Linked DNA regions of Notamacropus eugenii. Each later gene encodes a partner of the first gene's protein in a complex. Links are inferred from orthologs where the notes say so. Each region holds a gene or a part of one and is shown on either strand. Other genes may lie near its edges. The genes, in order: ITGA2B, FLNA and ITGB3.

Region 1 (7,855 bases):
CCACTGAGTACCCTGTGGACAGGAAGCATTCATTGACAAGGCACCACTCCTCCACCCACTCACCTAGAAGGAAAGGCTAAGGACCAAAAGGAAGGAGGAACGAGTGGATGAGGGTAGGCAAGAGAATGGGAGTAGGGCAGATGACCATGGGCTGGGGAATGAGGAAAGGACCCAATACCCCGGTAGGCGTCTTGGTACTCAGACTTAAAGATGTCCTGGCTCAGGCGCTGGGAAGGCACGGTCCAGAGAAGTGAGGATGGGGTATAGCTGGACATGATATCAGAAAGCCGAGCCTGAGCTAGCAGACCTGATGAGTGGAAGACAGTTTGGTCTGAGGTTAGTGAAGTCTTTTCCCTGCAGCACTCCTAAGTCCAATGACCCAGCCCAGAACAGGGGGGATAGTGCATTGTGGGTCAGGATGGCGTTCCCATTTCAGTCACTCAGGGTGCCAAGGATGGTGTTCTGCCACCCATCTCTCCTGGGGAACAAAACTGATCGGAGAGAGGAGGGGAAGTTCATTGTAGCAATACTTAGTTGAAAAGTTGGACCTCAGACACTTTGGCTATGTAATGAAATCCTTTTAAAAATTTTCTGTACACTGACAGTTAATGAAGCTTGCATACTGTGCAGTTGTCAGTAAATCTTTTAGAAGTTTGCCAGATTATATTTATCGAATAAAACTTTCCCATTTAACTACTTAAAAAAAAAAAAAGAGGGGAAGTGGGGCTGAGTAGCGTAAGGGAAGGATGATACCTAGGAAATAGTAGCCTCCAGGAGCCCCCAGAACCAGCTCCCCAGACTGAAAGGAAAGTACAGAAGGTGAGAAGGGTGAGAAGCTCCCCAGGCTGACAGGTCCCTCCCCGCAATTCAATAATCAAATCAAAGGAACATTTAATAAGATCCCCTTATTGTGGGGATTCAGAATGTGCCCCTATTCTGAATCCCATCTCTGCCCCCCAATTCTAATTTCTCTCGTCTTCTGCCCTGCACCCCTCATTCACCTGAGTGATCGTGGAACTGAATCCTACTTCGCAGTAGCGCAAGTCTCTGCCTGGACCCGGGTGGAGAAGAGATGAAAAGAGAGGAGTCAGGTCAGTTGACCTGGCTAAGGGCCCCTCCCGAGAACTAAAGGGCAGGACCAAGGAGAGGGACGTGGCCACCATTAGGGCCCTCAGAGGCCCGGCCATTTGTAGGGGTAGCCCCACGGGAGGAACTGGGCGAGTCGCGGGGACGGGGTGTGGCTCACGGGAGTTCCCGAAGTAGAGCTGGTTCATGGCATTCTCCCGGCAAGGAGCATACTCTGCCCGACGGCCGCTCCTGAGGTGCGCCACGAAGCAGCTCCCGACTGGGGTCTTTCCGGCCTCCTCGGTCTGCTCCAGAGCGTTCCAATGCTGCCAGGGAGCGCATGCCTGCGGGAGGGGCGGGACGTAGAGGGTCCTGGGGCTGAGGGGGCGCGCATGGATTCCCCTCTCCGCAGCCTCCCCCGCACTCAGGGCTTTGTGACCTGGCTTTGCCTTCCTCCCTCCTCTCCTCTCCCTGCCTGGCCACGGCTGCCCAGTGTTCGCTCTGTGACCATCGTAGTGCCTCTCCATATCTCCTGCCTATCCAATGCCCAAGTTCTAGCTCTTCCATGTCAGTCCAATGCCCTACTTCATACCTGCCTGGTCCCCATACTACAAGACCCATGCTTGCCCAGTACCCACCACAATGTTGTCCTTCCAAGTGACAACGGATGCACCAAGCCCTTGCTTGGTCTTGAAGGTTTTGAAGGTGATCGCGCCCACCTTGCTGGTCTGATCCTCTAGAAGGGAGAGAGAACTTGGGTTGGAGGTAAGCAGGGACCACTTCTCATGGTCTCTCTAGACCATGCAAAGACCTTTCTCCTAGTGGAGTAACCCTCCCCCTCCCCCTTTATAGTTCCCATCTCCCCTCGTCCCCCATCCCCTTCCTATCCGGGGCCCAAGACTCACTGAGGTCAAAAGTCAGCGGACTGCAGCTACTTCCCTGGGCTGCCCAGGGACATAGGAACACACCTCCAGTCTCCTCCCCCTGGGGGCTTACAGCCCTTGGGGCTCCCACCACAATGCCAAAGCTGCAGGCAGAAAGGAGCCTGAGTTGAGGCCATCTGGTCAGCATCACCCATGGGGCACAGGGACAGGAAGATGAGGCTGATCAAACATTGTGGGAAAAGGCTGGGGCACGGATTCATAGTAATGTAAGAGGGAAAGTGAGTTTAGGGATGATAAACCATGCCCTTGGGTGTGTGCTGGGGAAGAGTGTCTCCATTTCACTTGGGGAATTTAAGCCTAGCCCTCAGGACAATAAATAATGTCTGTCTTTAATTCCTTTTCTTTTCCGGCCCAGCCTGAATTCTCTTTACGTATCTGGTTGTTTTCATGCTGACCACAGCAGGTCCAGAGCCCTTTACTTAAGTCTGCTCTTTCTAGCTGGGTTCTGTGATGCTTCCCCACCTCCAGCCCCGTCCCTCCTACCAACACAAAACTTTATCTGTCCCGCTCTTAATTCTTTGGAAGCGATCATAAAAACTGCTTCCCACGGAGGTAATGCTCAATAAGGGTTAAAAGTAGAATTTCTCCTAGAGATAGTGAAATTTTAATAAAGAAAGATTTCATTCACACCATGAAATGGAATGAAGGGTAGAATTTCAGGCTTCAGGTTGGTGGGTGGATGATTTGAGGAACCCAGGTGACAGCCTTCTTTGCCCTAATGTTCCTAAAGGTTTATGTCTGTAGATGCACTCACACATCTTTGTCCGTATTACAATCTAGTTTTCCTTGGCCCATGACTTACCTGCCATAGCTATCCTCATAGAAATCCAGAGCAAATCCAAAGTGGCTGCCATTGGGGCCCACATACAGGGTTGGCTGCGCAGCATCCAGGTTCAGGGCCCAGACTGGGGGACCACCAGGCACCAGAAGCAGCTGTATCCATCCCAAGAGCCACAGAGCAGGCAGCAGGCACTGAGTTCTAACCATCTTCCTCCTGCTGATGCCCCTGAATAGAATTCTTTAAAATGAGTTCTTTTCTTCCACTCCCACCACTACCAACCTCAGGAAGTTGCTCCTTATCAAGCTGGTCCCCAAAATAACTCCCTGAGTGACAGATGAGACAACATTCCTATAATACTGCCCATTGAGTCTGCTGGTTAGGTAGGTGGAGGAAACTACTTGGGATGAATGTATTGGGGTGGAATTCAGAACTGACTCCCTTGGGAGCTGCAGCACCCTATGGTTAGGGGACAAGATCTTAACTTTTCCCTAATGGAGAAAGAAAATACTTCTTTCCCCTCCCCCATCTTCTCCCTTGCCTGGCAGATACAAGAGTAATATCAGTGGCAGCTGTTTCCTTGCTTCTAATGACCAATGATCATTACCACAGCTCTGCAGCTTCCTCTAAGGAAGTGGGGTTGGGGTCCTTCAAGTCTTATCTAGTGAATTGGTCATACCAAATCATGGGCAATAGTGTCTGAGGCCTCTGGCATTTAGTCTGTTTTGGCTACTCAGCAGAAGACTGACAGTAAGGCTGAATTAGAGTCAAATGGAAGCATTGCAGCATAGGAATGTGAGAGAAGCTATCCAGAGCAGAGTGCCCTGACAAAAAGCAAAAGCACATGAGGCAGAAACGGGAGTAATCAAGGAAGCAGAACAAAGAAGAGGTCAGAGGCAAGCAAGAGATGCCCATCCCTCCTGCATCCCTCTCCTCAATCCATCCATTGTGCCATCTGAAACCTCAGTTCTGTTGTTAGACTGTTCTGATTAGGCATGTGCCTTCCCCTAGAAATTACTTTGTATATTTTGTTGTTGTTGAGTCATTTCAATCATATCCTACTCTCTGTGACCCCATGTAGAGTTTTCTTGGCAAAGATACTGCAGTGGTTTGCCATTTCCTTCTACAGCTCATTTTTACAGATACGGAAATTGAGGCAAATAAGGTTAAGTGTCACACAGCAAGTAGGTGTCTGAGGCCAGACTTGAACTCAGGAAGAGTCTTCCTGACTCCAGGCTCCACACTATCCACTTCAGCACCTATACTTTGTCTTTAATTGTCTTATTTTTGCTATACCCTTCCAATAGAACCTGGAGCTGTTTTAGGACAGAGAGTACACCTACCAGCTTGGGGCATACCAAGCACCTTGTTGTGGAACATTTAGAATTCATCTCAAACACCCCATGCTCCAGGAAACGTTCTGTGTAACCTAGAGCTACCTTACCCACCCTTGTCACCATTCACTGATTACTGTTACATAGCTGCCATGGTGCCAATGAACACACTACTAAGCTGGCAGTCACAAAGACCTGAGTTCAAGTTGATACAAAGAATTAATAGCAAGTCACTTAACTTTTGTCTGCCTCAGTTTCCTCAACTGTAAAATGGAGATAAAGATAATTACATCAACCTCACAAGACTATTGTGAGGATCAAATGAGGTATTTGTCAAGTGCTTTAGCAAACGGTCAGGGATGTGGCAGGTACTTTTAATAAATGTTATTCTCCTCATCATTCCCTTTATGCACTTACGGAAACAAGTTTTCTATCCCATCTATGTGCTTATTTCATAGTTATCATAGTGTTCCACTGGGAATGTGTAAATCTTCAAGGCAGCAATCTTTTAAGCCATATATAACCAAGTCTAGCATGTGCATACTTAAGTGTGTACTGGTAATGATGGACTACAACTAAAATAAGTTTCAAATTAATTCACTCCCACTTCCTGTCTCATGCCTTCAAAATACATACCATGTCTGATATCTGATTATTAATTAACCTTTCTCACTTATTTCCTTTATTTCCCCATGAAATCCCCAGTGTGAAAGGTCAGGTGGTCAGGTTATGTTTGCTTCTATTGAGCATAAAATTCAATTCTATAAATACCAGAGTGTTTATGTGCTCAGAAATATGGAGGACATGAAATTGGTATTAAGATAGATCCTGCCCTTGGGAAGCTTAAAGCTCAAACACACAAAAAAAGGGACACACAGTAACAGACAAGCATGTATTATGAAAGGTCAAATTGAGAGGAAAACACATAAACACATAAAGCGCTTTAAGTAGTCAGAGACCAATATAGAACAGGCAGTTAAGGGAGAGTTGGGATCTGAGCTAGAGGGGGGATCCTCTAGATTTCCCAGTGTTGGGATGGAAGCCACATCATTGGGTTTTACCACTTATAGAAGGTAAACCCCTGCATTCGAATCTAAAAACTCAACTGTAGAAGGAAGAGGGGGAGGTGTAATTAGAAAAGTACTTAGATGAAAAAAGACCTCTTGAGTTTTAGTGGACTGCAAGTTCATTGTGAATTATGGTGGTGGTGGATCCTAAAAATACTAAAGCAGAACTTAGGCTCACTAACCATAAGCATCGTGTACCCAGCAGGCAGTTATTGGCCACACTGTGCTCTGTCCTGATCAGATCGCATCTGGACAAGTATTTAGTCAGGCATGCCACAATTTAAGGGGAACATCACAAAGTGTAGCATGTCCAGAAAAGCAGATCAGGATATTGTCTAGAAATATCCAAAGATATTAAAGTCAAGTAGCCCAAACTTAGGAGCTACATCAATCAACAAACATTTTATTACGTACTATGCAATGTGTGCTAAATATAGGGAATATAAAGAAAGGCAAATTCAGGTCTGACCTCAAGGAAAATGTTCAAATGGGAAAGACAATTAAAAAAAAAAGATATAGCTCAGGGGACCAGGAAAGCCCTTCTGCAGATGGTGGCATTTGAATTGAGTCTTGGAGGAAGTCAGATGTTTTAAGATAGGGACTTACCCTGGACTTACCAATAGATATCTATGTATCTATATAACCTGGTGAACAGATGAACAAATTATGGAATAGAAATGCTATAGAATACTATTATGGTGTGCTCTTACCAGTGTGATGGCCAACAAGGATTCCAGAGGACTAACAATGAAATTGACTAATGATGAAACATGCTACCCACCTCCTGAAAGACAGGTGAAGGACTCAATTCAGAATAATTTTTTTATTTTTTGACTTAGCCAATATAGAAATTTGTTTTGGTTGACTATATATGTAATAGATTTTAACTTTTATATGTCCTCAGTTGGGGGTGGATGGTAAGGTGAAAAAGCAGATCTTGGGCAATTTAAACAAGTAATGTAAAAAATGATTTAAACAGCAGGTAGTGCAGTAGATAGAGTTCTGGACCCGAAGTTAGGAAGACATGAGTTCAGATATGACCTTAGACACAAACTGTGTGAACTTGGGAAAGCTACTCTGTTTTCTCAACCCTTGGAAGGGTTGTTGTGAGGATCAAATAAAATACTATTTATGAGTGCTTAGCAGTGTGAGATACAGCAGACACTATATAACTGCATATTCTCTTCTCTTTCTTGTTCAGCTAGAAGTTGGTGCCGACCAATCATTCTGCAAAGCAGTTTAGAACTATTGATACCAGATATAGAACTGATTGATACCAGAGACCTACCTTGGCATTTTTAGCCTAAAGAAAGCAAAGTAAGTGCAAACAATATTTTTAGCAGCTCTTTTTATAGTGACAAAGAACTGGAAAACTAAGAAAGTGTCCTTCAACTGGGGAATGGCTGAAGAAATAATTATATGAACATAATGGAGTACTATTTTACTGTAAGAAATGAAGGGGATTGTTTCAGAGAAAGCTGGGAAGATTTATATGAAGAGGTGCAGAGTGAAGACATAGATTCTGCAGAATACTTTACACAACAATACTGTAAAGAGAGTGAACTTAGACTTAATTCTTATCAGTGAAATGACTTCAGAGAACCCATGTTAAAACATGCTACCCACACCCTGACAGAGCCAATGGAGTTGGTGCAGAATGAAGTACTTTTTGGACACAGACAATGCAGAAATTAGTTTCTCTTGAATGCATATTTGTTTACAAGGATTTTATTTTCTTTTAATTTTTCAATGCTTCCTCCCATTGAACTATTTTTTATTAAAATAAAATGTAAGTAAAAAGAGCAGTTTCAACTGAATGAGGCCAGAAGTCAGGTTGTAGTTTATAAAGTAGAGTTTAAATGAATTTTTAAAGAGTAAATTAAGAAATATGGGAGATGGTAGGATCAAATGTGGCCTTTTTAAGGATGGGGGAGACCTGGGTTTGTTTGTAGATTATCAGAGAAGCCAGCAGATGGGGAAGTGTTTGAAGATGATAGTGGGGGGCAATGTGCTGAAGAAGGAACAGGATGGGATCAAGGTTACATATAGATCTTGTCAAGATCGTTGGAGGAAGGAGTGCTGAATGTAACAGGCAGGAAGAAATGTTTGAAACAGTCACCATTGGGAGTGGAACAGAGCATCAATTAAGGAGAGAAGTGCTTTGATGCAATAAAGGCCATTAAAAATTTTGTAAAAAATCAAATAGTTTTGTGACCACCCTACTTCTATTCAGCAGTATAAAAGTAAAAGTAGCAGATGGGGTTTGTAATCCAGGGTTTAGGGTAGAGTATAAACTGCTTCACCAAAAGGTTGAGATTGGCAAAGGATGAGAGTGTATCCACTGCTGCAGTGATGGCCTGGGAAAGTGAGGACAGAACAGACTGGGGTCATAAGATACAGATAGATGGTCAGACAAGGGAATCAGGGGTTCATAATCATGAAATAGGTACATTCATGGGTGATGGTTAAGATCAAAGGAATGTCCACCTAAGTCTTGCTAAGGTGGAATGAAGAAATAGATCATGTAAATGAAATAGACCAAATAAGAAATAGGATATTTGAGAGAACATCAATACCTATACATATACGTATGCTTATATATTTATGAAGGGAGGAGTTGGAGCGAAGACTGAACAAAACACCAAACTCATTGAGTAAAGAGAATGT
Region 2 (7,446 bases), on another chromosome or scaffold:
TGGAGGGGAGCTAGAAGGAGCCAATATGTTTATTGTTCTGGGATTTGGGGGGAGGGTTTTCTCGGTATAAGGAGCAAAGAGCTGAGAAAGACAGGGTTACCTCCCAGTTGCCCCTGACTCTGTCCCCTCAAAAGTGCCTGGCTTTTCTCATTTCAGCCCTAATGTTCCTTTCTCCAGCTCTGGGCCCCCTGAACAGTGCCTTGCTCTCTCCATTGAATGAACCTGAAGACCTAAGTCATTGATCTATCTGCCAGGAAATCCTGCGTCACTACTGGACCAGTTCCCAACTCATCTCCCCTCCCTTTCCTCACCACTCTCTTCTTTCTGACTGAGGGGGGAATGGGAGGATGGGAAGGAGGAGGCCATGGTCTCTGCAGCATGACCCATCCAAATACGGTCAACTTTCACTTAGATCACTTTATGAATTACCTGAGGACTATTTTTAATTCCAGACTGGCCTCATTCCCCTCCCAGCACATTTCTGGGTCTATTTCAGTCTCCTTGGTCTTTTTCATGTCCATCTATGGGGGTGGGCAGAGCTCGCTCTGATACAGGTTCCAGCTCTGATACAGTCTCTTTTTCACATTCAGTAGTGTCCTCCATCCCTCCCCTTGCAATGAGCCCAGTGGAAAAGAACCCAGAACCCAGTGAACACATATGCCTAAAAATCTGAGTTTGGCGTTTGGGCTGCTCTTTCTGCAGGTCTCAATGGAAGCAGCTCTCCAAGGAAGGGAGAACTGATGCAGGGGATTATTCATCAATCAACTCCTGTTTGGGGAGGCAGTTAACCTCAGGCATTCTAGTTTCCAGCCCCAGGCCCCCAATTCCCAGAGAAATTCACCCAATCCCATTAGATTTTGCTCCCTGAGCTGGAGAGAGGAGAAGCAAGCCTGTTCTTGGATTTGCACCACTGGGAACTGAGGACAGTGAGCATCTGGTTCAAACCCTACTCTGTCACTTGCTAATGAGTCACTTGTCTCTCAAGGCCTCAGGCTGCCAAAACATCTGTAAAAAGAAGGGGTTTAGTAGAACAGCCTCGGATGTCTCTCCAGCTGTGATGGATTCCTCTACGGACCCCAGCTCCACCTGGGATTGCAGTGTGGACATCTGGACACTAGGGGACGCCCCATTCCACACCCCAGCAGCTCCCCTGTCCGAGGAAGCTGAAATTCCGCGAGTTCATATTTTCCCTTATTTGGAATGAGACTGAGGAGTCAGACATAGCCTCAGACCCACGCCCCTCTCCTGGCCTGCTGCCTCCCCGATTCCCCTGTCCAGGACACAGCATTGCCTGCAGCTCAGACTCGAAGGCTGTCTCCCTTTGGCGTGATGGGCTAGCTAAGGCAATGGGCCCACTCCTTCCTCTCACTTTCCCTTCCTGGGCTCTCAGTTTCCCCAGTCTCATAGTCTCTCACGGCCCTGCCTGAGAGCCTCAGAATGTGACTTGAAGCCCGCAACAGAGGCTTCTCCCAGAGCACCTTACCTAACCCCAACTCTAAATTCATGCTGGCCTGACGTTGTGGGGCTCTGGCGAAGCACTTCCTCCCCAAAGAAGAGGGGAGACTGGAAGGCAGAGGGGATGGGTGGATGGGGGGGACACAATCAGAGGAAGTATCAGTTGTGCCAGTTGTGGGGCCTCACTCCTCACCACCCAGGGCCACACATCCCTAGTTTCCAAACAGCACCCTGTTTGGAGGCTCAGACTGCCCCGTGGAGGAAGCCAGGGATTTGGCACCATTCAATTGAACTGGAGACAGATCTAGTTCAGACTTAGCCAAGAAGTTCCCTGTCCATGCCACCCCAACACCCCACCGAGACACACTGCACTGTTCACAGAGCAGCTGGAGTGGAGCGCAGCCCCAGGGTCTGGCAAGGGATGCTACATGCTCCCATGGGTGCCTGGTGGGAGGCTACTGGGCTCTTTGGTTTCCCCAATACATGGCTATCAAGTGGCTAGGAGCCTGGCCACTTTTTTATGCACACACACACGTATGCACACACATGTCCATAGAGTGACAATTTTATATACCCCCCCCATACCCCTTTGTACACTCACACCTACACTGACAGAGTGACTGGGAATCTTCCACACGTACACCCACATAGAATGATCTAAAATCTTACACACTCACATCCACAGACTTGGAATTTTACACACTCACCCACAGAGTGACCTGGAATCACACACACACACACATACACGCACACGCACACACAGTGACTTGGAATCCTACACATCCATCCTCAGAGTGACCATCACACACATACACGCACACGCACACACAGTGACTTGAAATCCTACACATCCATCTCCAGAGTAACCATCACACACACACATACACACACACAGTGACTTGGAATACTACACACCCATCCCCAGAGTGACCATCACACACACACACACACACACACACACACATAGTGACTTGAAATCCTACACACCCATCCCCAGAGTGACCATCACACACACACACACACACACACACACACACACACACACACACACACACACACACACAGAATGACTTAGAATCATACATATCCATCTACAGAGTGACCTGGAGTCATGTCCATCTCTCTGTCCTGTCCCGCCCCACCCTGATTCCCCAGTCTTGCCTGCCTGCCTGCACACATCCACAGCAGTTCTCCACAAATGGAGGGTCAGGCACCCACGAATATCTATCCCCTGAATGGATTTCCTCTTTCTTCCTTTTGCCCACTCAGCGGGTCCTGATCTTTCCTACCCACTTGACTCTGCCCCCTGCCAAGACAGAGGATGTCCAGGCCAAGAGAACCTGTGGTGACTAGGAAGGGGGGTAGAGTGGGGAGGGGAACGCGCCTTAGATGGGACTGGGCAGGCCCAGGATAGAGAAGCCAGGCTGCCTGTATGGCTCCCGGGTGCCAGTAGCCAGCAGCACGGGGTGGGATGGGAGGGTGCTACCGGGAGCAGCTGTCTTACCTGGAGCCCCGAGCCGGAGCTGGGAGCCGAGAGCCTCCGGAGCCTGGAGAGCCTGGGATCGGGAGCCGGGAACCTGCAGCCGAGGGCACCTCGACCTGTGCTGGCTCCCTGGCTCGGCTCTGGCCCGAGACGGGACGGGCAGGATCCGGAGCCGGGTCCCAGGAGCGTGCCGAGGACCAGAAGGGCAAGGGCCAGCAGACTGACTGCCTGGCGGCTCGGCTCGGCTGGGCTGGGCTGCGGGAACTCACCCGCTGGCCGGGGCCACCTCTTGTCAGCAGTAAGACCCCCCCTGGGTCCGAGCCGGCTCGGGCGGAGAAAGCCTTAATTGGTAAAGTCGCCGGGGAGCCCGGAATGAGGGAGCGAGAGGAAGAGTGAAGGAGAAACTGAGGGGGGGAGGGGGCAGGAGGGGGAAGGGTGATGGCACTGCTGGCGGCGACCCCGCCCCTAGGGGAATGAGCTCACAGCCCAGCGGGCCTCCAGCCCAGGGGGGGGGCACCCTTACCCCCACCCCAGAGGGGCAAAGAGAGGAGGAGGGGGAGGATTGCACTAGGGTGCCCTCTTAGTTTCGTAGACCCCCTTTACTTTGAATGCTCTCCTTTCACAACACCACTCCCCCAAGTTCAAGCTGACTTGTAGGGTTAAAGAAGGAGGCACACTCCTATCTCTTGTTTAGGCTGAGGGTCAGGGGTCAGTTCCTGGGTGGACCTTGACTTCAATCACATATTATCGATGGAGCAGATTGGAATGAGAGAGGAAGAAAGCATCCTTGGAGAGCTGCGTAGACTCTGGGGCAGGGGAGGGGGCATCTCCCCCATTTTCTCTCTTCCTCTCCAAAATTCTATTTCAATAATGGGGACAGGGACCCTGAAGCTGTTTCCTGCTCTCCTATAGTTGGGTTGGGGACCCTCTTCCCCCAGGGTGGCTCCACCTCTTTGGGTCCTTCTGCTCCTCCATAGCGTCCTCCTTTGTTCAGGGTTCATTCCCCTCCCTCTGATCTCCAAGGCTCCCCAGTCTAGCCCACACTCTTTCTTCATAGTTGGCCCCTAACAGAATTATTTTTGAATGAAGCAATGGAAAAGAAAATGGAAACAATCCTGGCCTGGGATTCCTGGCTCATTCCCTGTGTGACCTTGGATAAGTCCCTACCCCTCTCCTGGCCTCAGTTTCTTCATCTGGCAAATGGAATTGGATTAGATTACAGATTCTCTAAGGTCCCTCCCAGCTTTAATAGTGTATTAGAATATAAGGCAATATTATAAAAATGCCATGGGGGGGAAGGGGGCTGGTGGGGGTATGGGTCCAGGACACTGCCACCCTCTTCTAGGAGCATCTAGCTATCCATCCCCATTCTCAGATACAGGGGGAACATGGGCCCCTCCCTGCCTCCTCAAAAGCCAAGTGTCAGGATCCAGGGCCACAGGAGGAGACCTGAGGTAGGTAGATCAGCAGGGGAGGGATAGGGTCAAGGGGAAGGGAGAGAGATCACAGAATCCTAGACTTGGAGCTGGAAGGGCCATTGGAGGTCATCCAATCTAATCCCTTGGCTTGATGGAGGACCATGAGCATCATCCAGCTGTGACTCCCTTAAAGGCAGTAAGGAAACAGTAGCATTACCTATAGGTTAAAACTTCACCATGTCCCCTAACTGGGAAGTAGGGTCAAAAGGTGGGAGGAAAGTGGGGGTGAGGAAGCCAAAGACTTCTCCAGAATCTTCCTTTTCTTGCCCTCAGCACAGTCTGGCCCAGAACTGGACCAGTAGGGGTGGGCTGGAGCTCACAGAGGTCTAGGACCCCAGAGTCTTAGAGGAGAACAGGCCCTGTGAGATTATCTAGTCTTACTCCTGCTCTGTTCTCCCTAGACTCATACCCTCCCTCCCCGATTTTATACTTCCCCAAAATGAAGGATAATCAGTGACAACAGTCAAGATTTCAACTGACCAACAAGCTTTTATTTAGCCTCTATTATGTCAGGCCCTGGGGAGACACAAAGACAACACTCTCAAAAGTTGCCACCCTCAATGGAAGCCAGGCCTGGCTCCTAAGGTTCTGGTCTTTGGGATGGATTGCACAAGGGAACACAGAGACAAAGGAGAGAAGAGAACTGAGGAGATGACCATGGGGGGTGGGGGTGGGGGTGGGGAAGATGTGCCTGAAAGAGCTCTCTGAACTCTCTCCAGACACTGAAAAGGCAGAGGGAGGGTCCTAAAGGGGTGGGGTCAGGGGGTGGCAGATCCCAGCCTTACTGTACCCCCACAGCTCTAGATCCTCCCATGGTGGCAAAGGGCAGTGGCCCTTCCCCAGCCCCAGATCCCAAGGGGTTGCCAGGGACAAAGGTGAACAGGGCCTACAAGCAGGGGTCCTTCCCTCAGGAGGCTCACAGGTTCCAACAGCTGGGCAGGTAGATGTCCGTCATAGGCTCAGCTCTGTTGCCTGGTGAGCCACCAGAATGACCCGATTCCCGCAGTAGCCACAAGGCTACTAGCAGGTCAACTGGGGGCTGGGGGGGGAGGAGGAGGAGAAAAGAGCCCTAAGTGTCTCCCATGCCCACCACAGCCACCTCAGGGATCTTCATAGAACAGCCAATGTACTCAGCTGAGGTAGAATGTTTGCACATGCTACATACAAATGGCTCCCTCCCTTCTGGGCGTCCTGCCAAGAAGCCATTTCCCATTCTGCCCACTGTCAGGTCCTGTCTCAGCACCTGGTGTTTCCTGGTTTATATCTTATATTTCCTCCTCCTTCATTCTCCCTCAGCACTACATAAACTCCCTGAGGGCAGGGGCTGCTTCCCTTTTGGTTCTATCTCCTCATGGAGACCAAGGCCTAGTGCCTGGCACCCAATGGGAGCTTGTTGAATCAAATGGGGCATTACTGTGGCATACACATGGATTGAATGGTCAGTAGGTCTGCTCTTTTTTCTGGATTCTGCCACTAACTCTGTTAGATCCTTCCCCTCTCTAGGCCTTGTCTCCCCTGCCCCACCCCAATCCTTCCCTGTAGAACAAGGGTCCCCAAAGTCCCTTCTAGCTCTGATGGGCCATGCTTTGAGAAAATATTTCTCAGCACCTGCTGTTCAGGAGGACTTTGGCTTTGGCTACATTTGGGGGGAACCAGAGTCTGGGAGGAAATCAGTGCAGGTTTCTTGGGCACTCCTAGTCTGACTTATTATCTCAAGGCAAAGAGTGGTCTCTTTGTGGCTAGTGTCTACTTCCTAGACCCACTGGGGCCCAGGCCTATCAGGGACTCAGAGAAAATGTCCATATCTGTCTCTGTCCTCCCCTTAGTCCAGGCAGCAGTCTCCCAATCCAAGGTGTCTTCAAAATAACAGGAAACTGTCCCAGATGGGCCCCCCTTGGCCTGCCTGTTCTCCAACCAATTATTGACCAGTCTCAGTCCCTCTCTGAACTAGGACCTGGGAAAAGGATCCTAAAAGAAATGAAGGAAATGGGCCTCATTCTTGGCCTCTGATATCACTGAGGATTCTGTCCAAAAGCCTGCCTATTCTCTCTCTCTCTCTTGTCTCCCTCTCTCTCAGTTTTCTCTTGGTCTCTCTCTCTGGCTCAGTTCCTCTTTCTGCCTTATTTCACAATATTTCCATCCAGATCAGCCTCCTGTGCCCAAGTCTGGGGGAGTAGGGTGTGGCACCAGCCATGCCAGGGAAGGTTCCTGGGTATCTTTCCAACTCCTAACCAAGCCCCAATTTTCCTAAGCCCATTCCACCTCCCCCTAGGCCCCCCAACCTCCCTGACCACCCGCACAAAGAAGAGATGACTTTCTTTTTTTCTGGGTTTGGGTACAGCAGGGTGAATCCCAGGCTGGAAGCTTGGCTTCATTACCCTGCAGTCAGAAATGGGGTGGGGCGCGACTCAGAGGTCCCTAATGCTCCCAACCCAGGGGAAGACTGTTTTGTTGACATCTCATCCCAAGGGGTGGGGAAGGGGGTGAGAGGGAACCTGTGGGTTCAAGTTCCCTAAGCTGGAAGGGGCCAAGTGGGCAAGCAAGGGTGAATAAGGACCCTTAACCCTGACCCAGGCCCTTCCTTCATTGTGCCTATGGGTCCCAGGGGATGTATGTCTGCCCATGTGTTGCTTGGTACTACTTCATTTACGGATGGACGAGGGCCCTGCCTATGCCTCTGACTAAGATGCATGACCTGAATAAGTCAATCCTCAGTTCTGTACCTCACTTTCTCCATCTCTAAAATAGAAGTGGGGGGGAGAGGGAGGGAAGGCTGATCTCTGAGGGCCCCTCTTTCCAACTCGGTCTCTGTTTGGCCCTACTTTGCCCCAGATGAAGGGGAAGTCAAAGTCTCACCTGTTTTGGGACTTGTGGAGGCCAGGCCCTCAGTTCCTTGTTGAGGCCCTTTCTTTGAAGGCCACCATCCTCCTGCCACAGAGCCTGGAGCTGGGATCTTGCCTGTGGCAAGAATGGAGAAGGATGTCAGTGAAGTTTAGGTTTCTAATGACCTGAAGCTATAGAAAGGCAAGG
Region 3 (7,838 bases), about 3.3 Mb from region 1:
GGGGGAGTAGAGAAAAAGGCACAGAAGTGAGAGATATTGTGAAGGTAGAAATAACAAGATTTGGCGACTGACTAGAAGTGTAGGGTGAGGGAAAATGAGGTGGCAAGATAACGCCAAGGCAGTAAATAATGTCGGTTAGTCATGCATTTATTAAGCACTCACAGAACCATCACTGGATGATGTAATACAAATACAAAGAAAGACAAAAATAGCTTCTGCTTTCAAGGAACTTACATTCTAATGGGAAAGACACTAGGCACATACATAAGTAAATGAAAAACATAGACAAAATGAGTGGAAAAGGGAACCTTAGAAGAAAAGGCTCCAGCATCTTTGGGGACCAGGAAAAAACCAGCTATTGATGTGGTGCTTGAGCTGTGTCTTGAAGGAAGCCAGGGATTCTGAGAGGCCAGTCTGAGGAAGAAGAGCGCTTGAGGCTTGGAGAACAGTCAGTACAAAAACTGGAGATAAAATATTAGGTGTGAGAAAGAGTAAATAGGACTGTATAGTTGATTTATAAAGGTGTAGAGTATAAAGGTCATAGAATGGAAAGCTAGGGAGGGGTCAAGTTGTGAAGAACTTTAAATGCCAAAGGACTATATAGTTGATCTGTAGGTAATAGGAAGCCAGGGGAGTTTACTGAGTACTGGAGTGACACTGTCACGCCTAAACCTTAGGAAAATCACCTTAGCAGCTGTAGGGAAAATGAATAGAATGAGAAGATACATGAGGCAGGTTGATCAATTAGATGGCTGATGGAATAGTCCCGGAGAGAGATAATAAACTAGGTTGGTAGCAGTATAAGTAGAGAGAAGGGGATCTATTCAAGATATTTGGTAAACCTGAGTGACCAGAAGGCTGGTATCTTAAACAGAAGAAGATATCTTCAACAGAAACAGAAAAGTTTAGAAAAGACGGAGTTTGAAGAGAAAGAAAATGAGTTGTTTTGGACATGTTAATTTTGAGATTCTCTATTTAGACATTTTGCTCACCTGAGTTTTATGAGACAGTAGTATGGTAGACAGCAGAGGTGGGAAAGTGAATGACATTTATAAATAATTTTTAAACTATAAGTGTTTATAATAATTACATGTTCTATTTTACATTTATAAATAACTTTGAAAAAGTGCTTTGAAAACCTTAAAAGATCTATGTAAATGTCAGTTATAATTACTAATAGCCTCAGCAATATAACTCAAATGTTCCTCCAGCCTTCTGGAGAACCCTCCTCTTGGGCAATGATTCCTTCTTGGGTAACAATACCCATTCTGTGTCCTCACACAGCACTTTGCGTTTTAACTCCCTAATAAACATGAGTTCTAATATTGTGTGTTCCAGTTATCTGCCTTTGTCTTATCCCCTACTAGGCTAAACCCCATATTTATCTCCCCACAATGTTTAGTGATGTGCTACACTTTGCACGTAGTAGATTCTTGTTGGCTGATTAAATAAGTCAACTCTGTGGTCCTCTGAGCATGTAAGTCCCATAATAAATAAAAATAAAACCCCCAGAGAATAATACTCAGTTAGCTGCGGGTTATTTTGACCCGCACCAGTATTTTCTGCCTCCCTAACAAGGAAAGTCCCAGAAAGTAGAAGCTGTCTCCAGCACTCCAACTTCTCCCTCCCTTCAAAAGAGGTCCATGACCTCTCAGGAACTCAGATATGTGAATCCCTGTGGACTCATCAACCACACTCTATCTCATCCAGGGTGGATCAGGAGGAGGAAAGTAGGAAGCCCCTGCTCACCTCCCAGATGGGGACATAAATATGGAACTGTCTGCTTGTGGCCCGAAGAGCGGGTAAGCCTGAGATCTACAGCAGCAAGATTTGAGTCCTGGAGCCTCTAAGAAGTCCTTATCCCGATCGGAGCACCTTTCCTGGTCTCACTTCCTGGTCTCACTTAAGTGAACCTAGACTTCACTTAACGAAAGCGGAACCCCAGCCTTGTTTTGTACCTGTAAGTAGCCTTCTGTCTGAGCATCAGTACAGTAAGACCACAGCCTCTACTGACACTCGGGAAGGCAAAGCCTTACCAATAGCCATATCACCGCAAGAGGAGAGAGAGAGAGAGAGAGAGAGAGAGAGAGAGAGAGAGAGAGAGAGAGAGAGAGAGAGAGAGAGAGAGAGAGAGAGAGAGAGAGAGAGAGACAGAGACAGAGACAGAGACAGACAGAGACAGACAGACAGAGACAGAGAGACAGAGACAGACAGAGAGACAGAGACAGACAGAGACGGAGAGAACCAGAGAGACAGAGACAGAGAAAGAGAGAGAGAGGGTGGGGGAGACAAACTACCTGGAGATGAACTTCTAGTGCAAACCCGAAATAAGAAGACAACACGGAAAGATCCACACATCCCCAACGAGCTGCAAAGTCAGAAATCCCTGCACTGAGGACTCGCACCCAAAGGACCCGCTATTGAGCTGCACAAAGGGGACAAGACCCGACAGTTGCGGATCACTCAGTTCCGATGCCTGGCAGAGCACAAGTCGCGCCCGGACTCCTTCTGTAGTCCCTTCAGCGAGCTGGGGTCTCCCAGAGCCCGGATAGCCTCGGAATCCGCGGCCCGTTTGGTGCCACTTACCCTGGACTCTGCCCGCCAGCGCCCCCAGCGCCAGCAGAGCCAAGCAGAGCTGCCGCGGTCCCATTCTCGTCTCTCCCACCCTGGCTCTGTTCCGCGATCCCCTACAGTTGGGTGCAAAGCGCAGGACGCCCCGCAGTCTTTTTTCCCGCCCCCCACGGCTTCCAGGAGGGTGGGGACGGATGGAGGGGGTGGGACTGCGCGAGGTCGGGGGGAGGAGTAAGCCGCAGACTCCCTCCCTTCTAGCTGGAAAAGAGGAGGGGCTTTTGGGGGGGCGGGGGGCGATGGGTCTGGTTCTTATCACCTTGGGGCTGCTGCCAGCTATCCTTAGACCATCTAATCCAACCTCAGTTTTGAGAGGAGGAAGCCGAAGCCCAGAGAGGAAAAATTCTTTCTTGTGTTCCCCTTTCACGCCACCCCCGCCCCAACTTCTAGTCCCCGAAGGAGTACAGCTCAGCACACCCGAGGGAAAGATGAAAAGTGGGGCGGGAAGGGGTAGGAGGCCGAGCTGGAACTCGCGTAGCCAAAAGGGAGCAGAGAATGGAGACCGTTAATTAATTCAATTTAAGAAATGTTTATTAACCTCCGACTGTCTGAAAAGAGTTGTAAAGGACTTGGGGGAAGATCCTAAGATAAAATATGATAAAATTCCTGCCCTCTCCCCCTCCCCCGCCCCAACACACACACCCAAGGAACTTATAATAATAATAACCGACATTTATAAATCCCTTTCTGGTTCCCAAGCTATTTAGGTTCATTATTCTTTGTTCCTTTGCATTGTCTGCCATGGAAGCCTTCAGGGACTAATAGAGAACTCATTGTTCTCCATTCTCGGGTTATTCTCAGTTAGGACCTGATAGCTTGGTACTGAACCGGTCCGGGCTTGACACATGCCAGTTAGGCTTGACACAATCCCCAGCTAGACTCCTGGAGGGCAATTACATTATTGAATATTGTCCCCAATTGTTTAAGTGCTGGTCAGGTAGCAAACCCTATATATAGACACTTGTTGGATTGAAGGGCTACAATAAAGTGTTCATTACCTCTAACTGGATTTATTCTCTTTTTTCCTAGAGCTGATAGGAAGTTTAAAGCTCCTCTAGTTCAACCATTTCATTTTATATTTTGGAAAATAGAAGGCCAGAGGAGAACTTATTATTATCTTATTATCAAGAAATGTCATTTCCTTAAGATTGAAAAGCCAAAGTTAGTTGCAGAGCCAGGTCTAGGATCAGAGCTGTCTCTAAGCACATCAAGGTAATCACTAAATGCCTTAGGAAAAGAGGGAAGGGAGGGAGGAAAGGAAATAAACATTTATTAAGCACCTACTATGTGCTAAGCCCTTAACAAGTGTTATACCATTTGATCCTCACAGCAACCCTGGAAGGTAGGTGTAATTACTCTCCCCACTTTATAGCTGAGAAAACTGAGACAGAAAAAGGTTAAGTGACTTGCCCAGGATCACATAGCTAAGAGTAAGTGACTGAAGTTGGATGTGAGCCTTCTGGACTCCAGGCCCAAGGTGGTCTAGTTGGTATCTTTTGGAAAAAAGAGAGGAAGATGTTTGTGAACAGTTTTGGCAAAATGGGTGTCATGTCCAATTCCTCTTTGTTTAGTGACAGGTGCAACTGTAATAATATATTTTATGAAATCTCTTCCTTGAGAAGAGTAAGAATTGGTTGCTTGGTGGCTAAAAATAGGAGTAGGACATTGAAAGTCTGAAAATAGACTCCTTGACTGGTTAAAAGTGAAATTAGGATTGTAAATGAAACAGTAATCTCAATCCAGAGGAACCAAGTAGGATAATCCCAAATGGTGGTGAAGGGAGATTTGCTATTTTCATTTTGGAGGTAAAAAGTTGGAAATCGCTAGTTCACGGTGTAAGCTTTTAGACATGAGAATAAATAAAGGGTTACCTTAAACCCAGGAAGTTTGAACTAAATCATAATTTACTCAAAGTGGGAACTACCTGTTCAGAGGAGAGTAGTTTATTGCAGCATACTCCTTTTCTTCCTTTAAAATAAAGTTTAAAAACAAAGAAGAAAACTCACTTATGGTCTGCAGTGTGTGGTGGCAGCAAGGGAATAAAAGAGAAACGGAGGGATGGGTACCATCAACCAGAGATGCCAGCAATGGTTATAGAGGAAGAAAAGGTAACCAGAGTTTGTGAGACAGATCTCTGAATCTAAGGAACTAGGAAAACTCAGTGACCTAGAAGTTTAGGGATTATTATCCCAGCTCAACATTAGGAATGAATAAATTACCTGTACTACTCCAAAGAAATAAAAGGAAAAGGACTCATATGTAAAAAAAATACTTATAGTAATTTTTTGTGGTGGCAATGAACTGAAAACTAGGATTTTAATTTCCCATCAATTGGGGAATGGCTGAACAAATTATTATAATGGGAAAAAATTGTGCTAGAAGAAATGATGAAAGGAATGGTCTCCGAGAAACCTGGGAAGACTTGTAAGAACTGAGTCACAGTGAAGTGTAAGAACAATTTCTGTAATAATGACCTTGCATAAACAAGCAACTTTGAAGAGCTTAAGAACTCTAATCAACAAAATAATCAACCAGAATTTAAGCCAGAGGACCAAAAATGAAGTATACTTCTCAAAACCTGACAAATGATGGACTCAAATGCACAATGAAGTAGATGATGGTGATGATGATAATGATGATAGATACATAGATACATAGATGATATATAGATGGATGGATGGATGGATGGATAGATAGATAGATAGATAGATAGATAGACAGAGATATAGATTTTTTTGGAGACCAACAAGATGTATTCTGCTTGATTATATATATTTGTTACAAAGGATTAATTCTTTTTTTCTTAATGAGGGGAGGGAAAACAAATGCTTATTAATTTAAAAATAAAATTTAATTTTTAAAAACAAATTAAGGGATACATAAGGCTTAAAAATTAGTGAGCATAAAGTTCTAAGGCCAAAAATGGAGGAAAAGTTAGAATTCTCCTGAATTAGTTGAGAAGGAGCTCAGGCCCCAAGAGGAACATGGAGGCCTGGGACCCACACTCGTGAAGAAGATTCTTCTTCTGCTGTAGAGCTCCTAAGTCTCACAGCATCTCACTCAGAATCTTCCTTCAGCACCTGGGGCCTTCTCACCCTGGAATATCCCTCTAACTCTATTTTTGTGATTGTTGTTGATCAGTCATTTAGGTTGTGCCTGACTCTTCATGACCACATTTGGGGTTTTCTAGGCAGAGATACTGGAATGGTTTGTCATTTCCTTCTCCAGTTTATTTGATAGATGAGAAATACTGAGGCAAACAGGGTTAAGTGAACTGCCCAGAGTCACACAGCTAATCTGAGGCCTATCCACTTCACCCTGTACCTTATGGCCTCTATTAATAAGTTCCTTCCAGGGTCTCCATTTTGGGAGAACAACCCTGGATAACCAGCTTACATTTCCACCCCCCCACCGCCCCCACTCTGCTTCAAACTCTCTGGACTTCACCACCATGTTCAGTACCTCCCCCGCTCAACCCTGTTTTTCAGCTCCCTGTTATATATTGCCTTTCCCCACTAGTATGTAAGGTCCTTGGGGGCAAGAGCTGTTTTTCTTATATTTTATCCTGGCATTATATCACTACATATATATATATTTCTTATATTTTATCCTGGCACATAGTAACCCCTTAATAAATGCTTCTTGCCTAACTGCCTGCTTTACACAAACAGACCTAAATCCTAAAACCCTAGAATTAGCTTGAATTGTGCTGTCTGTTGTCTGTCTGGTCCCTTTTCTCCTCTGAGTCAGTCAGTCAGTCAGTCAACAAATATTTATTAATCATCTGTTATGTGCCAGGAACTGCACGAAGTATAAGTCACAAATGTCAGACCTGCAAGCACAAAGGTCCTGGGATTCAAGAGTAGAAAGGATTTTTTTTTATTTAGTATTTTATTTTCCCCCAGTTACACATAAAAACAATTTTTAACATTTATTTTTAAAATTGAGTTCCAAATTCTCCCCCTCCCTCACCACCCCACTCCCATTGAGAAAGCGAGCGATTTTATAGAAGTTATACATGTATAGTCATGCAAAACATACTTCCATATTAGTCATGTTGTAAATGAAAACCTAGACCAAAATAAAAACCTAAGAAAAATAAAGAAAGTAAAAAAAATATACTTCAATCTGTATTCAGACTTCATCGGTCCGTTCTCAGGCGATAGACAGCATTTTTCATCATATATCTTTCAGACTTGTCTTGGATCATTGTATTGCTGAGAATAACTAAGTCATTTACAGCTGATCATCTTACAATATTGCTGGCTCTGAAGGAAATAGTGAGGCTGGTGACTTTGCCCAGCTCTGCCTCACTTAAATCCAATTCACTTGCAAGTCAAGATATCACCTTCCTATTGCCATCAATTCTCTTCAAGAACTAAGGATAAGCAACAATCTGAGAGTCAAAGTAGCTGTCCCACTGGGATATATTTGGAGATTTCTCAGATTAAACTGTGTGGAAACATAGCAAACCAAAGAGATAATGATCTTTTTGTGTTCGCTCCTGACATCAGACCCTGCCCATGTAAACCTAGATGAAGAGGGAACCCTGGACTAAGAGCTACACACTTAAAATGTAAGCTCTTTGTGGGCAGGGACACTTCCACTTCGGTTTTGTATCCTTGCCCCTATTGTGGTGCCTTGTACATAGTAAGCATCTAATAAATGTTTGTTTGAATGAATGAATGAACAGCAAGTCATTCATCAACACTAGACAGAAGTTCAAAGGGAAAGGAAGAATTTGTTCAAAGTCCTTCTGGGAGACAGGATGGGGACCCCTGGCACTATTTCCGTTATCTTTCCCTGTCACACCACACTATTTCCTCTACTACCTTCCTAAACCCAAACTAATAAGAGTTCTCAACCATTATCCCCACACCATAAGATAGAGGGTCAGGGGAAGGGACCAATGATCTTTCTCTCTCCATTTAAAGGATTAGGACGCAGTTCTCAAAGTGGGGTCCGGAGAACCCTTTCAAGGAGTCTGCAAGGTCAAAACTATTTTCATAGTAATACCAAGACATTTTAATTTCTAATATGATTAATATTGATAGCTATAACCCACAAAACCAAAAATTCTCAAAAATTTTTAAGAATGTAAAATATCCCAAGGCCAAACATTTTGAGAAGCACTGGCCTAGGATGTCCTTTGGGGACACCTTGAAGGAAGGAGGAAAGTTGTACTCTCTGAAAAGCTGTAGGAAGGACCT

The links.
Region 2: the proteins of ITGA2B (region 1) and FLNA are in contact, whole or in part, in an NMR structure (PDB 7SFT), measured with the Homo sapiens proteins. The link is inferred for Notamacropus eugenii from reciprocal best matches to the Homo sapiens genes ITGA2B and FLNA. Residues at the interface, in NP_000410.2 of Homo sapiens: Trp1019, Lys1020, Val1021, Gly1022, Phe1023, Phe1024, Lys1025, Arg1026, Asn1027, Arg1028, Pro1029, Pro1030; in NP_001104026.1 of Homo sapiens: Thr2263, Gly2267, Ala2268, Gly2269, Gly2270, Leu2271, Ile2273, Ala2274, Val2275, Glu2276, Gly2277, Ser2279, Ile2283, Phe2285, Asp2287, Arg2288, Lys2289, Gly2291, Cys2293, Val2295.
Region 3: the proteins of ITGA2B (region 1) and ITGB3 are in contact, whole or in part, in a cryo-EM structure (PDB 8GCE), measured with the Homo sapiens proteins. The link is inferred for Notamacropus eugenii from reciprocal best matches to the Homo sapiens genes ITGA2B and ITGB3. Residues at the interface, in NP_000410.2 of Homo sapiens: Gln49, Phe52, Arg72, Trp141, His143, Asn145, Glu152, Ala153, Glu154, Lys155, Pro157, Arg184, Phe191, Tyr197, Glu199, Phe202, Pro217, Tyr221, Phe222, Phe262, Asp263, Tyr265, Tyr268, Thr290, Trp293, Thr294, Gln315, Met316, Ala317, Tyr319; in NP_000203.2 of Homo sapiens: Ser188, Pro189, Tyr190, Tyr192, Ile193, Ser194, Pro195, Pro196, Tyr204, Asp205, Met206, Arg242, Asp243, Pro245, Lys279, His281, Ile282, Ala283, Leu284, Asp285, Arg287, Leu288, Ala289, Gly290, Val292, Gln293, Pro294, Asn295, Asp314, Tyr315.

What each region holds. Positions count from the first base shown.
Region 1 is NC_092873.1:349,591,182-349,599,036, reverse strand, and holds the start of ITGA2B (integrin alpha-IIb), read right to left. Parts: upstream 3,085-7,855; 5' UTR 2,997-3,084; coding exon 2,812-2,996; intron 2,093-2,811; coding exon 1,971-2,092; intron 1,802-1,970; coding exon 1,704-1,801; intron 1,410-1,703; coding exon 1,247-1,409; intron 1,052-1,246; coding exon 1,002-1,051; intron 800-1,001; coding exon 754-799; intron 308-753; coding exon 179-307; intron 13-178; coding exon 1-12. UniProt on the Homo sapiens protein: Integrin alpha-IIb/beta-3 is a receptor for fibronectin, fibrinogen, plasminogen, prothrombin, thrombospondin and vitronectin. It recognizes the sequence R-G-D in a wide array of ligands.
Region 2 is NC_092879.1:9,764,858-9,772,303, reverse strand, and holds the start of FLNA (filamin-A), read right to left. Parts: upstream 3,099-7,446; 5' UTR 2,960-3,098; intron 1-2,959. Other genes in the region: uncharacterized protein, read right to left, coding at 5,333-5,455, 7,273-7,374. UniProt on the Homo sapiens protein: Promotes orthogonal branching of actin filaments and links actin filaments to membrane glycoproteins. Anchors various transmembrane proteins to the actin cytoskeleton and serves as a scaffold for a wide range of cytoplasmic signaling proteins.
Region 3 is NC_092873.1:346,313,654-346,321,491, forward strand, and holds the start of ITGB3 (integrin beta-3), read right to left. Parts: upstream 3,093-7,838; 5' UTR 2,651-3,092; coding exon 2,587-2,650; intron 1-2,586. UniProt on the Homo sapiens protein: Integrin alpha-V/beta-3 (ITGAV:ITGB3) is a receptor for cytotactin, fibronectin, laminin, matrix metalloproteinase-2, osteopontin, osteomodulin, prothrombin, thrombospondin, vitronectin and von Willebrand factor.